Cricetulus griseus: one gene and its partners. The protein of the gene in region 1 binds, or shares a complex with, the protein of each later gene. Links are inferred from orthologs where the notes say so. Each region holds a gene or a part of one and is shown on either strand. Other genes may lie near its edges.

Region 1 (4,094 bases):
TAGTTTCTTTGTCCATCAAATGGGACTTGTCCCTGGAATACAAGAATGTTTCACCCGATGTTGGTGGTGCACACCTTTAATCCCAGCACGTGGGAGGCAGAGACAGGCAAATCTCTGTGAGTTCGAGGCCAACCTGGTCTACTGAGTGAGTTCTAGGACAGCCCCCATAGCTACAGAAAAACCCTGTCTCAAAAAACCAAAAAAAAAAAAAAAATGTTTCAACATAGTATTTAAAAATGCCACAGACAACCTGCACCAGCAGGCCAACACCCCACACTCACCCCAACCTACATAGGAAACACTATTTGACAAAGTGAAATATTAAAAAAAACAAATTATTAAAATCATTATTAAAGCAGAAACAAGAGGCTGGGGAGGGGCTCAGTCAAGAGCACTAACCACTCTTTCAGAATGCTGGCGCTGGGCTCCAGCACCCACCGTTGAGTAGCTCACAGCACCTGTAACTCCAGCTCCAAGGGATCCCACACTCTTTTTGTACTCCTCTGAGGCCACGTGCATATACCCATACACAGACACACATGCATTGACACAATTAATTTTTTTTAAAAGCCACTAAAAACCAAAAACAGAACCAGGGTGTATTAGTGTGAATCCCAGATTCCGCTGGGTGATTGTTCTTTGCCTTGGTTTCCCTGCCTGTGAGATGGGAGACTAGCTCATGCTTCAAAGGGAATCTGAGAAGTGGGTGCAATGAGACCGGAGAATTCAGAATAGTGGCTATCTTGCACAGATTACTATGAGCTGCTTTGTTAGGACAGGCCTTCTGAAGCTGGAGCGAGTATCACAGCGTTGGACAGAGAGTTGGAGGAAAGCTTCATCCACCCAGGAGCCACCAGGTCACCAGAGCCAGGGAAGTGTGACATGACCCGGATTGAGAGGCTCAAAACGGCCCATGACACCCAACGTGCTCACACTGTGTAACCTAGCCGCAAACACTCGCATGCGCAGGAAATCTACGGGGGGGGGCACGTTGTCAGGGCAACCGGAGGCGTGGCTTCGCGGTCCCTCGGCCTCCAGAGGCGGGGCACATGAGGATTGGCCGGACGAGGCGTGCGGCGATGGGCGGGGCGGGGCGGGCGGCGATTGGCCGGATGCGGTGATGGGCGGGATGGGCGCGCGGAGATTGGCGGGATGCGGCGCGGCGCGGTGAGTGTGCTGCTGAGAGGGGTTAATGTGGGTGCTGGGCCAGGCTGGGGGCTCCCGGGGCCACGGGCTGGGGTCTCGATGGTGCTTCGGACTGCTGCGTAGGCCCGAGCTGGGGGCGCCTGCTGCGGGGCGGGTCGTCCGTCGCGTCTGGCTGCGGGCACCGTGTGGGCCGCTGCCCACCACTGCGTGTTCGGCTTACATTGAATTCACACGCGCCCTTTTGGCAAATTCGTTGAGTTCGCTTCCTACGCCAGAGCTGCACATTAAAGAAAGCAGAGCCAGCAAGAAGAATTTGAACTTTGTATTAGCTGTACCAAAAAAGTAAAATGAAAAGAAGGCTGTGTTCTAAACTTACTACATCCAGACTGTTGTCGTTTAACCTACGCATGAAAAATGTTTAACCAGCCGTTATTATTTACTGAAATCCTCCGTGCATCCCCGGAGCACATCTTAATTGGACTCGTTGTGGGACAATTGTGCAATACCTCCTTGAAGATAACAAAAACCGGCCTCCCTGGAACTTTGAGTGCATTTGGAGGAGGCAAAGTAAATGCTTGAGAGATGCAAACAATTGGAGTGGCAGATGTAGTAAATTAGGTGTGGGGAAGTGAGTTTTAAGGAAAGACTTGAAGGGGAAGATCCAGTGAACCTGTGGGGCACAGGAGAAGAGCCAACAGAGAGTAGACAGGCCTCTGCTGGAGCCCCTGCTGTGGAAAGGACACTTGGAAGGAGAAACAGGTGGGAGGGGAGGAACAAATCTTACAGGTAGTGTTAAGAACTTGAGGCTTTGTTTACTAAAATAGCAGCCATTGGAGAGTCTTGAGCAGAGCAGGGGCAGCTTTACGTTTTATTTTTATCACTAATTGTCTTATGGTTGGTGAGCACTCAGAAGTTAAGAGCACTGGCTGCTCTTCCAGCGATCCAGGTTCAATTCCTAGCATTCTCATGGCTGCTCACACCTGCCTGTAGTTCCAGTTCCAGGGGATCTGACACCCTCGGACAGACATGCATGCAGACAAAGCACCAATGCATATAAAATCAAAATTAAAAAAAAAATGCTGAGTAAGCCATGAGGAGCAAGTTAGTAAACAGCACCTCTCCATGGCTTCTGCATCAGCTCCTGACTCCAGGTTCCTGTTCTGTTTGAGTTTCTGTCCTGACCTCCCTCTGTAATGGACTGTGCTGTGGAAGTGTAAGCCAGATTATACTGTGGTAAGCTTCTTTGACGATGCTTGGCAGCATTCCCAGAAGTAAGGTAGTTTCCAAGGAAGTGAATGAAGGCAGATCAATAATTCTGTTGTGGGTATGCCGAATTTGAGACCCTGGTAACTGGGTAGAAATATGGAGGAGATGAACAGGGTTTGGCTCAAGCTCCAGGTTTTATCTGACTAAGGCTACAGGGTGCTGTCTCCAGACATATCTCGGTGCCCATCAGATGCAGTGTGGGCAGCTTGGTTGAGACACCAGGGGAGCTCCTGCTTCGGGTTCAAGTAGGAGTTGCAGGGGTGACTTTGTGTGTCTTTACAGTGATGCTCCTTAGCCTGGACACAGCGGCGTGGACAGAACAAGCCAGGAACGCTGCCATGTTCTCAGAGCAGGCAGCACAGAGGGCCCACACTCTGCTCTCCCCACCATCAGCCAGCAATGCCACCTTTGCCCGGGTGCCTGTGGCAACTTATACCAACTCCTCACAGCCTTTTCGACTGGGAGAGCGCAGCTTTAGCAGACAGTATGCTCATATTTATGCCACCCGCCTCATCCAGATGAGACCCTTCCTGGAGAGCCGGGCCCAGCAGCACTGGGGTAAGCTGCTTCTAACCTGTTAACACTTTCCAGTTACTGTGGAAACTTAGTGTTGTTAGCTCTCTGTTGCTTCTTAAGTTAATAATAATGAGGGTTAAATTAACCTGTGGGGTTAAAGTTAGGTTTGGCTCAGAGGCTGGTCTGAGGTAAGGACTGAGTTCTGGCAGTGGTAGCCGCTATTTCCTGTCCTCAGTGCAAGTTAGGCACCCTTCGCCCACTCTAGCTAGCTAGAGAGCAGGCCATGGCAGGCTGGGCACCAAAAGCCTTGGTCTTTGAGGGATGGACCACACCCAAGCCATAGCAGAGCCACAGGTACTTCTGTGTGGTGCTAGAGTTGCCTTCCTTCTGTGGAATCCGCTCCTCCGGGTGGAGCTCTGAGGAATGTTCTTGGCTGTTCCGGGGCATGAGTGTGGTTCTGGCCGAGCCTCCACTTCACCCTGCCTCCTCAGCAATTTGTTCTAGGGTTGGGTCTGTGCTGATGAATCCCTGGAACTTTCTGGAACTTGCATTCCTTCTTCCTACCCAGCTTGGCTTTCCACATCTTTCCTGCTGAGCATAAGGGACCTTCACTTGCGTTTTGGTTTGCCTCCTGGGGGCTTTGAATGAGCAAGGCTGCTGACTCCACAGGGAATAAAATGGACCGAGGTGGAGGGGACATCAAGTGGGAAATGTAAGGTATATTTTCAGAGGATGAAGCATTGGGTGGAGCAGGGGCTGACACATAAGAATCCAAGGTCTTAGTTGGATACAGTGGTGCACACCTTTAATCCCAGCACTTGGCAAGCAGAAGCAGGTGGGGGGTCTCTGAGTTTGAGGCCAGCTTGGTCTACAGAGTGAGTTTGAGGACAGCCAGGGCTATGTAGTGAGACACCATCTTGAAAAAAACAAAAGAATCTGAAGTCTTAGGACATGGTAATTGTCGGGATGTAGCATGTGACTGAGACGTAGGTAATGTGTTTCACAGTTGCTTCTTGTGGCCATGGTAATGAAGTGTTGTAAACAGGGGACTTAGGACAACATATATTTATTCTCCCATTGTTCTAAAGGCTTAAAGTCTGAAATTGGGTTTTCAGCAGGACTGGTGCCTTCTAGAGGCTTTAGAGTAGATCCTTCCAGTTTCTGGT
Region 2 (3,533 bases), on another chromosome or scaffold:
AATTTTACTTAATGCTGAACACCATATGACATAACTGATTTCCATGTTTGTTTTGCTATATTTCAGTGGTAGTAACACCCACGGAGACCTATGGTGTCAGAACATAATAGTTGCTTACAAGCTGGGCACCTCAGACAGGCTTTTTGCTGGCTGGTCAGGGAAGGAGACTCAGAGTGCTTTTCTAAGTACCACCAGGGGACACCAGAGGCTGCTCAGCTCATGAGAAGACTGCCTTAGAAAGACAGATAGGGAAGCCAGGTGGTATAGTGACACAGCCTTTAATCCCAGCACTCAGGAGGCAGGGGCAGGCAGATCTCTGAGTTCAAGGCTAGCCTGGTCTACACAGAGAGTTCCAGGACAGCCAGGGCTACACAGAGAAACCATGTCTTTGCGGCGGGGGGGGGGGGGACAGACAACACAAAAGCCTATAGCTGGCTCTCCTGCCTACTTACCTTTTGGGAACTGCCAGCTAGAGCAGAGTCATATTAAGGGACTAAAGGTCAGGATTTCAGGCTTAATGTACTTTATTGTAAGCGTTAGTGAACTCTTTGATTCTTCTGACATCTGGCTTTGAGTCAGGCTGTGCTGGATTTACTACATCAGAGAGGGTATGGCAAGCATCTGGTGGTCATGATTAGGCCCCGGAGGTGTGGTCTCAGGAGCATCAGGAGCCTGTTGCTTGGACAGGTAAGAGGCTGAATCAGGATGACCTCCACAGTCAGCCTGCTAACTGTTTCTCCAGAGCTGAGATGAGCAGAGCAGCATCTACTGGCCATGGATTCTGTCCAGAAGTTCTTGGTGGCTAGGAGGTGTCAAGGGAAGAACAACCCGGGTGGAACCTCAGAGTGGGTAGAGATGCCAGAGGCTGTGGGAGACAGGGGAGGAGGAGGAGTGCAGAGCAGAGTCAGTTCTATTCCTTGATGGATCTTCAGCAGTTCTTAACTATTGTGTGTGCTTCTGTGGCTTTGATGAACCCCCAGTACTCAGATAGCCCCATGGGCCCTGTATATACTCTTGCACCACCATTAGCTCTTAGAGGTAAGGATCATTAAAGGGGTCTGTCTTGAGCCAGGCACCTAGAAGACCCTTCTTACTTGTCAGGAAGGACCCCTTAAGTCTGTGCCCATTTCTCCAAGTCAAGGAAGCCCCTATGCAGACCAGAGAGTGGCAACTCCTAGAGAAGGGCCTGGTTCCCTGAAAGCTGTCCTGACCTGAATTGGAAGCGGGGGTCTTCAGAGTGTGTCTTCAGCACCTGGTGCACCTCTAGAGGGGGCTTCAAGCCCATCTGCTCTGCCCGATGCCAGCGCTGCATCCGTGTGATACCTGCCAGGGTGGAAAGAAGACTCAGCAGGGCAGAAGAGTCCAGGCTAGAGGCCTCCACACATGCCAGTCTCAGGAGACAGTGTTAGGCAGGCACTTGGATTATTTCTGAAACACATCGATGACAGAACTGGTTCAGAGATGTGCCTGGTGGGCTGGAGGTGGGGTTCTCACCTGTGCAAGGCCCATACTGCCAGGCCAGGTCAAACTGCCTCAGCAGCTCCAGCTGTGCTTCCTCCTGGCTGAGGGACTGGGTGTCTTCTCCTGCAATAACATGCAGCTCCTCAGGCCCATCCAGGCCTTTGCCCTACCCTGGACACAGCTGTGCCACTGGCTGTATCTTCACTCATTTGCCTTTGCCATCCAGCAGCCAGACAGCTCATCAGAAGTATGAGACATACTAGCTTCTCTCTCTCTCTCTCTCTCTCTCTCTCTCTCTCTCTCTCTCTCTCTCTCTCTCTCTCTCTCTCTCTCTCTCTCTCTCTCTCTCCTCTCCCCCCTCCCCTTTCTGGTCCTTGCATACTTGCATACCCACTCTTTCTGCCACCCCCACATTTCAGAGACCTAGCTCTGGTGCCAGCTCCCTCTTGCTGTGCCCAGGGGGCCCCTCCCTCTTCTTCACAACAGGGTAGGAGTCAGTGATGAACCGCTTCCGGCCCATGGCGGCCACCCAGGCAGGCGGAGCAGGAGGCAATAGCGGGAAAGAAAAGGCAGGGCAGTGGGCCTGTGAAAGACAGCTGCTGAGAGTGTGAGAGAGGGCCAGAGAGAGATGGGCCAGCGATGGACAGACAAGTTGACCCAGACAAGCAGAGAGAGGAAGTCCCTAGGTTCCAGAGAATGACGCCTGTCTTCCGCCCCCACAAGCACGCAAACATCAGAGCCTAAGCAAATGGCAAGCGGCCTTTGTGGGGCGGGACCCTAATTTTAGCCAATGGCAGTCGTCAGAGGGCAGGGGGTGGGGCAGCTGCTGCTGCGTCCGAGTGAGGAGGGTTTAGGCGGAACCAAGGACCTGTCAAGATGCCCCAGACTTCACCACCTCCTCCGGTCCCTCATTGGTCCACTTGGGTCCCTAGGGACATATAGAGAGTTATCCTCAGCCTCTCACTTCCCGTTTTTCCTTCCTAGGCAAATGTTCTTTTCAGCCTCACTAATCCCCGTGGCCAGTTTGTAAGTCCCCTGAGCCCGGCTGGAACCTTTTACTCCTGCCGGTTGGCCCCAGAGCGTTGTGGGATCAGATCTTTAGGTCCAAAGAGAGTTTGAACTAATCCTGGCCTTTTCCCTGCTCCTACCGGCCCCAAGAGACCTGGCTGGAGAAGCCCATGGGCTCCGAAGGCTCCTTTCTCACAGTCCGCTGGCAGAGACACTGTCCACCCAGCCCAGGCATGCGGTTGCTGTGTCCACTGTCAGGCCCGACAGCCTGCCTCTGTCCACTTTGCTAGTCAGGAAGATTCCATTCCAAGCAGGATGCCAGAAGTCTAGTCCCCACTCCCTATGGGTTCAGATCCCCAGTTCTCCCCCGCTGCCCCCTTTTGGTTTTTGAGGCAAGGTTTCTCTGTGTAGCCCTGGCTGTCCTGGAGCTCACTTTGTAGACCAGGCTAGCCTCAAACTCACAGAAATTGCCTTACAGAGATTTGCCTGCCTCTGCCTCTGCCTCCTGAGTGCTGGGATTAAAGGTGTGTGCCACCACTGCCTGGCATAGATCTCCAGTTCTTTTTTTTTTTTTTTTCGAGACAGGGTTTCTCTGTATTGCTTTGGAGGTTGTCCTGGAACTAGCTGTTGTAGACCAGGTTGGTCTCGAACTCACAGAGATCCACCTGCCTTTGCCTCCCAAGTGCTGGGATTAAAGGCGTGTGCCACCAATGCCCAGCTTAGATCTCCAGTTCTTAACTGACAGATATGCTCTGTTTCTTAGAAATGTGTATATAACAGAAAATAACATCAATAAACCTTTCCCTTATATTGGGCTTACCATGTGCCTAGAGCTGTACTAAGCAGTTCCCACAACCTTATTCAAAATAGACATCAAAAGAGTTTTGCAAGTGGGTGTAGGTAAATTGTGATCAGGGCTCTTAGTAACAGATACTGTGTAACTAGCCTTCCTTGTGCTCCAGAAGATCCCAAGCTTGCAGGGTAGAGGGGCATCCAGTTGTCAGACCTGTACAGGAAAGCAGAAGGAGAAAGAACTCCTTAGAGCTAGAGGAGGATGGTGGGCA
Region 3 (3,999 bases), on another chromosome or scaffold:
ACCCCACGCCCCTTTTCTTCTGCGTTAACCCGTAGTAAAATCTTGCACGTGTTCAGAAATACGCGGCGACTTTCATTAGCCTTGTTCCTTACGCCAAACATTTTCTCTGAAAAGCTCTCAGGGCTTACCCCGCGGCCGGGAGCGGAGTGGAGGGAGGTGACGGGGGCAAACAAGTCTTTACGTGCACTCGCTCGCTCCTGCTGGGGTGCAGCCTGCACGGCCGCGGAGGAAACCACAGTCAATGCACTAGTCCTGGAGAGGGGTGCAGGGAGAAGGCGAGCGGGGGGGGGACAGGGGGGGAAAACAGGGGGCGGGAGAAAAACACGGCGGTGGGAAATCCCTGCGCTGTGTATTCGCCAACCCTGGGCAAAGCTGGGCAGGGCCGCGCGTGAATAAATCTCATTAAGTGGCCGGGCGCAGGCACTGCAGCACCGCAGAAGAGGAGGGGGCGAGGCGGAGCGCCGGGCTCGCCCGAGCTGGGGGCGGGGGAGCCAGCGAGCGAGCGAGCGAGCGAGCGAGCGCCAGGGCGGCCCTTTTATAGGCCGAGGCCCGCGCGCCCCCGCCCCTCGCGCTGGCCCGGGCTCCGCGCACGGCGCACGGCCCGGCGTTACCTGAGAAGGGCCGGCTCGTCCCGCGCCCCGCCCGCCCCGCCCCGCCCCGGCCCGGCCGCCAGCCCGCCCTCCCTCCCGCGAGGCCCGGGCCGCACGAGATCTACGCCGCGCCTCCCTTCTCCCGCGGGCGGCTTCCCTTACCTTGTGCGGGGGGGGAAAAAAAAAAATCCTCTCCGCGGCCGCGCCCGCCTCCTCTAGAGGACGTGAAATGGCGGTCGGCGAGGCGAGCGCGAGGAGCCTCCAAAACCCAGCGCCCCTCCGAGCCCATCCATGATATCGGCGCTCCCCCGGCCCCGCCGCAGTGACCCAGCCCACAGGCCGAATCATCGATTCCTCGGCGTGCGCCGCGCGGCCCGGCTTCCCGCCGTGCTCTTGCCGAAGCCGCGCGCTCCGGGCCGGGGAGAACGCCTTCCTCGCCCCCCAACCGGGTCCCCGCCGGGGCGCGCGCCCGGCCCACCCCGCCGCCCTCCCCGGCCCGCCGCCGCCGCCGCCACCCTCGCGCACTCACACTCACACACTCACACACACACACACACACCCCTCCACCCCTCCCCCAGTGGTTGCGTCCGTGACATCATCATCATGGCAACAAGAGCTGCAGCTTGGGACCGAGGAGCCCGTGTGATTCCCGGCGGCGGCGGCCGTGGCGGCAGCAGCAGCGGCACCACCCGACCCGACGAACGCGCCAGGGCTTCTCTCCCGCTGCCTCTCGCCGGGAGCGTGTGAGGAGGCGGCGGCAGCACCACAGCCCCGCACCCCCGGCGCGTCGCCGCTCGTCCCGGCGTCCGTGCGAGGGGAGGGAGGAGGGAGAGAGCCGACCCGAGCGAGAAGGGGAGGAGGCGCCTCTGCGGAGCCGCCGCCGCTGCTGCCGCCGCTGCCAGGTCGCCAGTGGAGGGGAGGCGGTGGCGGCGGCGGCGAACATGTTTTCTGTGAGGATAGTGACTGCCGACTACTACATGGCCAGCCCGCTGCGGGGGCTGGATATCTGCCAATCCCCCCTCACCCAGCTCCCTGTCAAGAAGGTGCCGGTGGTACGAGTCTTCGGAGCGACCCCGGCAGGTAAGCGGGAGCGGGCGGGCGGGAGTGCGAGCGGCGGGGCGCCGGGGCTGCCCTCCCCGCCGCCGCCGCGTAGTCGCGCGCACGCCGGCCGCCGGCCCTCTCCGGGGTCGCTGCGGACTCTTCCCTCTTCCTCGCTCTGCTCGCCTTTTCTCCCGCGCGTGACAGGAGGCGCAGAAAAATGTGGGTTCGTGCGAGCGCTGCGCCCCCCTCCGCGGCAGAGAGGCAGCGGGCGCCGGGTACGGACTGTGCGAGCGGCGGGCGGGCTGGGGCCCCGGCTCGGTGGCTGTGCCTCGTCCCCCCAAGGACGAGTTCGCGGGTGGGTCCTCAGAGGTCGGTGGTTGGTGGGACCCCGGACACCCGCTGCGCCTCCCTAGAGCCCTGTTCTAGAAATGGCTTTGAGCGCTGAGGGGAAGTGTCAGCCCTGTTGTCAGGCGCTCGCTGTTGCCTCTTTTCACCCTCGCTCTCCTCTGCCCCTGCCGGAGAAGCTGTGGCTGTAGAAAGTGGCGCCCGGGGCCAGATAATCTTTCTCATTGAAGTGACCATGTGGTTGTGCTGGAGTGCAGGTCGTGACTGCTTAGAGTTTAATGCCTCGGCGGGGACAGAGCGGCATCCTCAGGTGCAATGCTTTCAGGAAACGTGCATCCGTGGAAATAGGAAATGCGTGCTTGTGTCGCCCCACATAAAATATTACACTTAACGGGGTGAATTCGTTAGGAAACACAGCCAAGCTCAGCAGCAGAGACGTTTTTAAATGCCTCTAGGCTGGGTTGTAGGGCTGCATTTTAAAAATAGAAAAGGGGGGGGGGACTATTTCGAAGAAATGGTGGGAAAAATGACAGAAGCTATGTTCTGGAACACTCGTTGGAATTTATAATATAAATAGGATAGTGGCCAAATACACATGGTTTTCCTGTTTTCATTTTTTCTGTTTTGCTTTTTACATGCTTTTAAACTGTTAACGTGAAATGATAGAGCGGCTTTCTGGAGGAAGATGTTCTTGCCCAGGTTTCGCCCTATGGGATTTTAGATAGCATTTCCCACTTGATGCTCCTTGGCCTCATCGCCACTCATCTTTGTTATTATCGTCAGCTTCTGTGCACTACCAAGATGATACCACTTTCCAAAATGTAGGCCCCCATCCTAAGCTATTACCTTTTAATGTGAATTCTCTTTGTTAAAAATGTCAATGCTATAAATAAGGTTTGGCAAAAGACTCCTTTTTCAAATAGTGGGAGTTTGACGCTGTGAACCGTGGAAGATAGAGAAATCGAATGCTGTTAACAGTTTGTGCAGAGTACAGCCCTTGGTACTTGAAAGACTGGAAGATAAGAGGCATTATACTGTTCTGCAGGATAGGTTTTCTACCTTTTTAAATATCGTGGTGCTGTCTTTGTTTTGATGGGAAACACCCTGCTTGTTCTCGATTCAGGGGCAGAGAATGATAAGTGAAGTTGATTTTCAAGTTGTAGAGCAACATGCTAATAGGATGTGTTGTGGTGTAGCAGTTTGTACGCTGGTTGAGTTGCTCTTCTACAGTTTTGTTTTTCCTGCTACACTCACTAAATATGTATTTCTGGGTGATTTTAAAGGTGTATTATGTAAGAAAGTTTTGTTTGTGGAAATACAGCACAGATTATCACTAACAGCACAGTTTTGTGGAAGAATATCCTTTACATATATATAGACTGTGGTATATACACCTGTGTTTCTGAATATTGGAATGTGAAATATTTCAAAAGAAGTATTTATCTCTTCTTTCCTTCCTGAATATCTTACAATAGGTCACTAGCCCCTAATTAAAAAAAAAAGAAAAAAATCACTGTATTATGGTATACTTTGAAATGTCTAATGTAAATGAATAAAAACATACTTTTCAAACTTCAAATTGCCAGAGATTATCCGGTTGAAAGAGGTAAAATTTATAGGCTTAAACAAAATTTTCTGTTTCAAGCATGACACATGGATGAATATAAATGTCAGTTTAGCACTCAATGATTCATTCATTAATGTATGTTAATAATTTACTTGGTTGGATATGCCTTGGAGCTGAGGTCAAGAGAGAAAACAATAAAATAATTCCTTACATAGTATAAAACAATTCTTGTCTCCTCAACAAGAAGAAAATTGAAGTAGTTGGCATACACTGAACGTCTACAGTTTTCATAAATCAAGCATTTCTTAATGTTAGAAAATCCCAGTGGAATTAATATTAATTCAGTCTCAAAAACTAAGCTGCAGAGTTTTCTGCTTTTGAATTCTCTTCCCAAAGAAAACTAGTCCAGGCCACATAGAGAAATAAAACTTGAAAATAATAATGTAATAGAGAGGT

What was found. The genes of interacting proteins can lie anywhere in the genome.
Region 2: Pold2 (region 1) and Pold4 share a complex: the UniProt entries of both Homo sapiens proteins name them as parts of the tetrameric DNA polymerase delta complex. The link is inferred for Cricetulus griseus from reciprocal best matches to the Homo sapiens genes POLD2 and POLD4.
Region 3: Pold2 (region 1) and Rev3l share a complex: the UniProt entries of both Homo sapiens proteins name them as parts of the tetrameric Pol-zeta complex. The link is inferred for Cricetulus griseus from reciprocal best matches to the Homo sapiens genes POLD2 and REV3L.

The regions. Positions count from the first base shown.
Region 1 is NW_023276807.1:98,956,727-98,960,820, forward strand, and holds the start of Pold2 (DNA polymerase delta subunit 2), read left to right. Parts: upstream 1-1,294; 5' UTR 1,295-1,712; coding exon 1,713-1,713; intron 1,714-1,754; exon of another isoform or gene 1,755-1,905; intron 1,906-2,318; exon of another isoform or gene 2,319-2,379; intron 2,380-2,694; coding exon 2,695-2,970; intron 2,971-4,094. UniProt on the Homo sapiens protein: Accessory component of both the DNA polymerase delta complex and the DNA polymerase zeta complex.
Region 2 is NC_048596.1:55,018,304-55,021,836, forward strand, and holds Pold4 (DNA polymerase delta subunit 4), read right to left. Parts: upstream 2,188-3,533; 5' UTR 1,982-2,187; coding exon 1,885-1,981; intron 1,585-1,884; coding exon 1,495-1,584; intron 1,324-1,494; coding exon 1,212-1,323; intron 866-1,211; coding exon of another isoform or gene 841-865; exon of another isoform or gene 803-840; coding exon 766-802; 3' UTR 501-765; downstream 1-500. UniProt on the Homo sapiens protein: As a component of the tetrameric DNA polymerase delta complex (Pol-delta4), plays a role in high fidelity genome replication and repair.
Region 3 is NC_048595.1:262,232,244-262,236,242, forward strand, and holds the start of Rev3l (DNA polymerase zeta catalytic subunit), read left to right. Parts: upstream 1-1,199; 5' UTR 1,200-1,531; coding exon 1,532-1,670; intron 1,671-3,999. UniProt on the Homo sapiens protein: Catalytic subunit of the DNA polymerase zeta complex, an error-prone polymerase specialized in translesion DNA synthesis (TLS). Lacks an intrinsic 3'-5' exonuclease activity and thus has no proofreading function.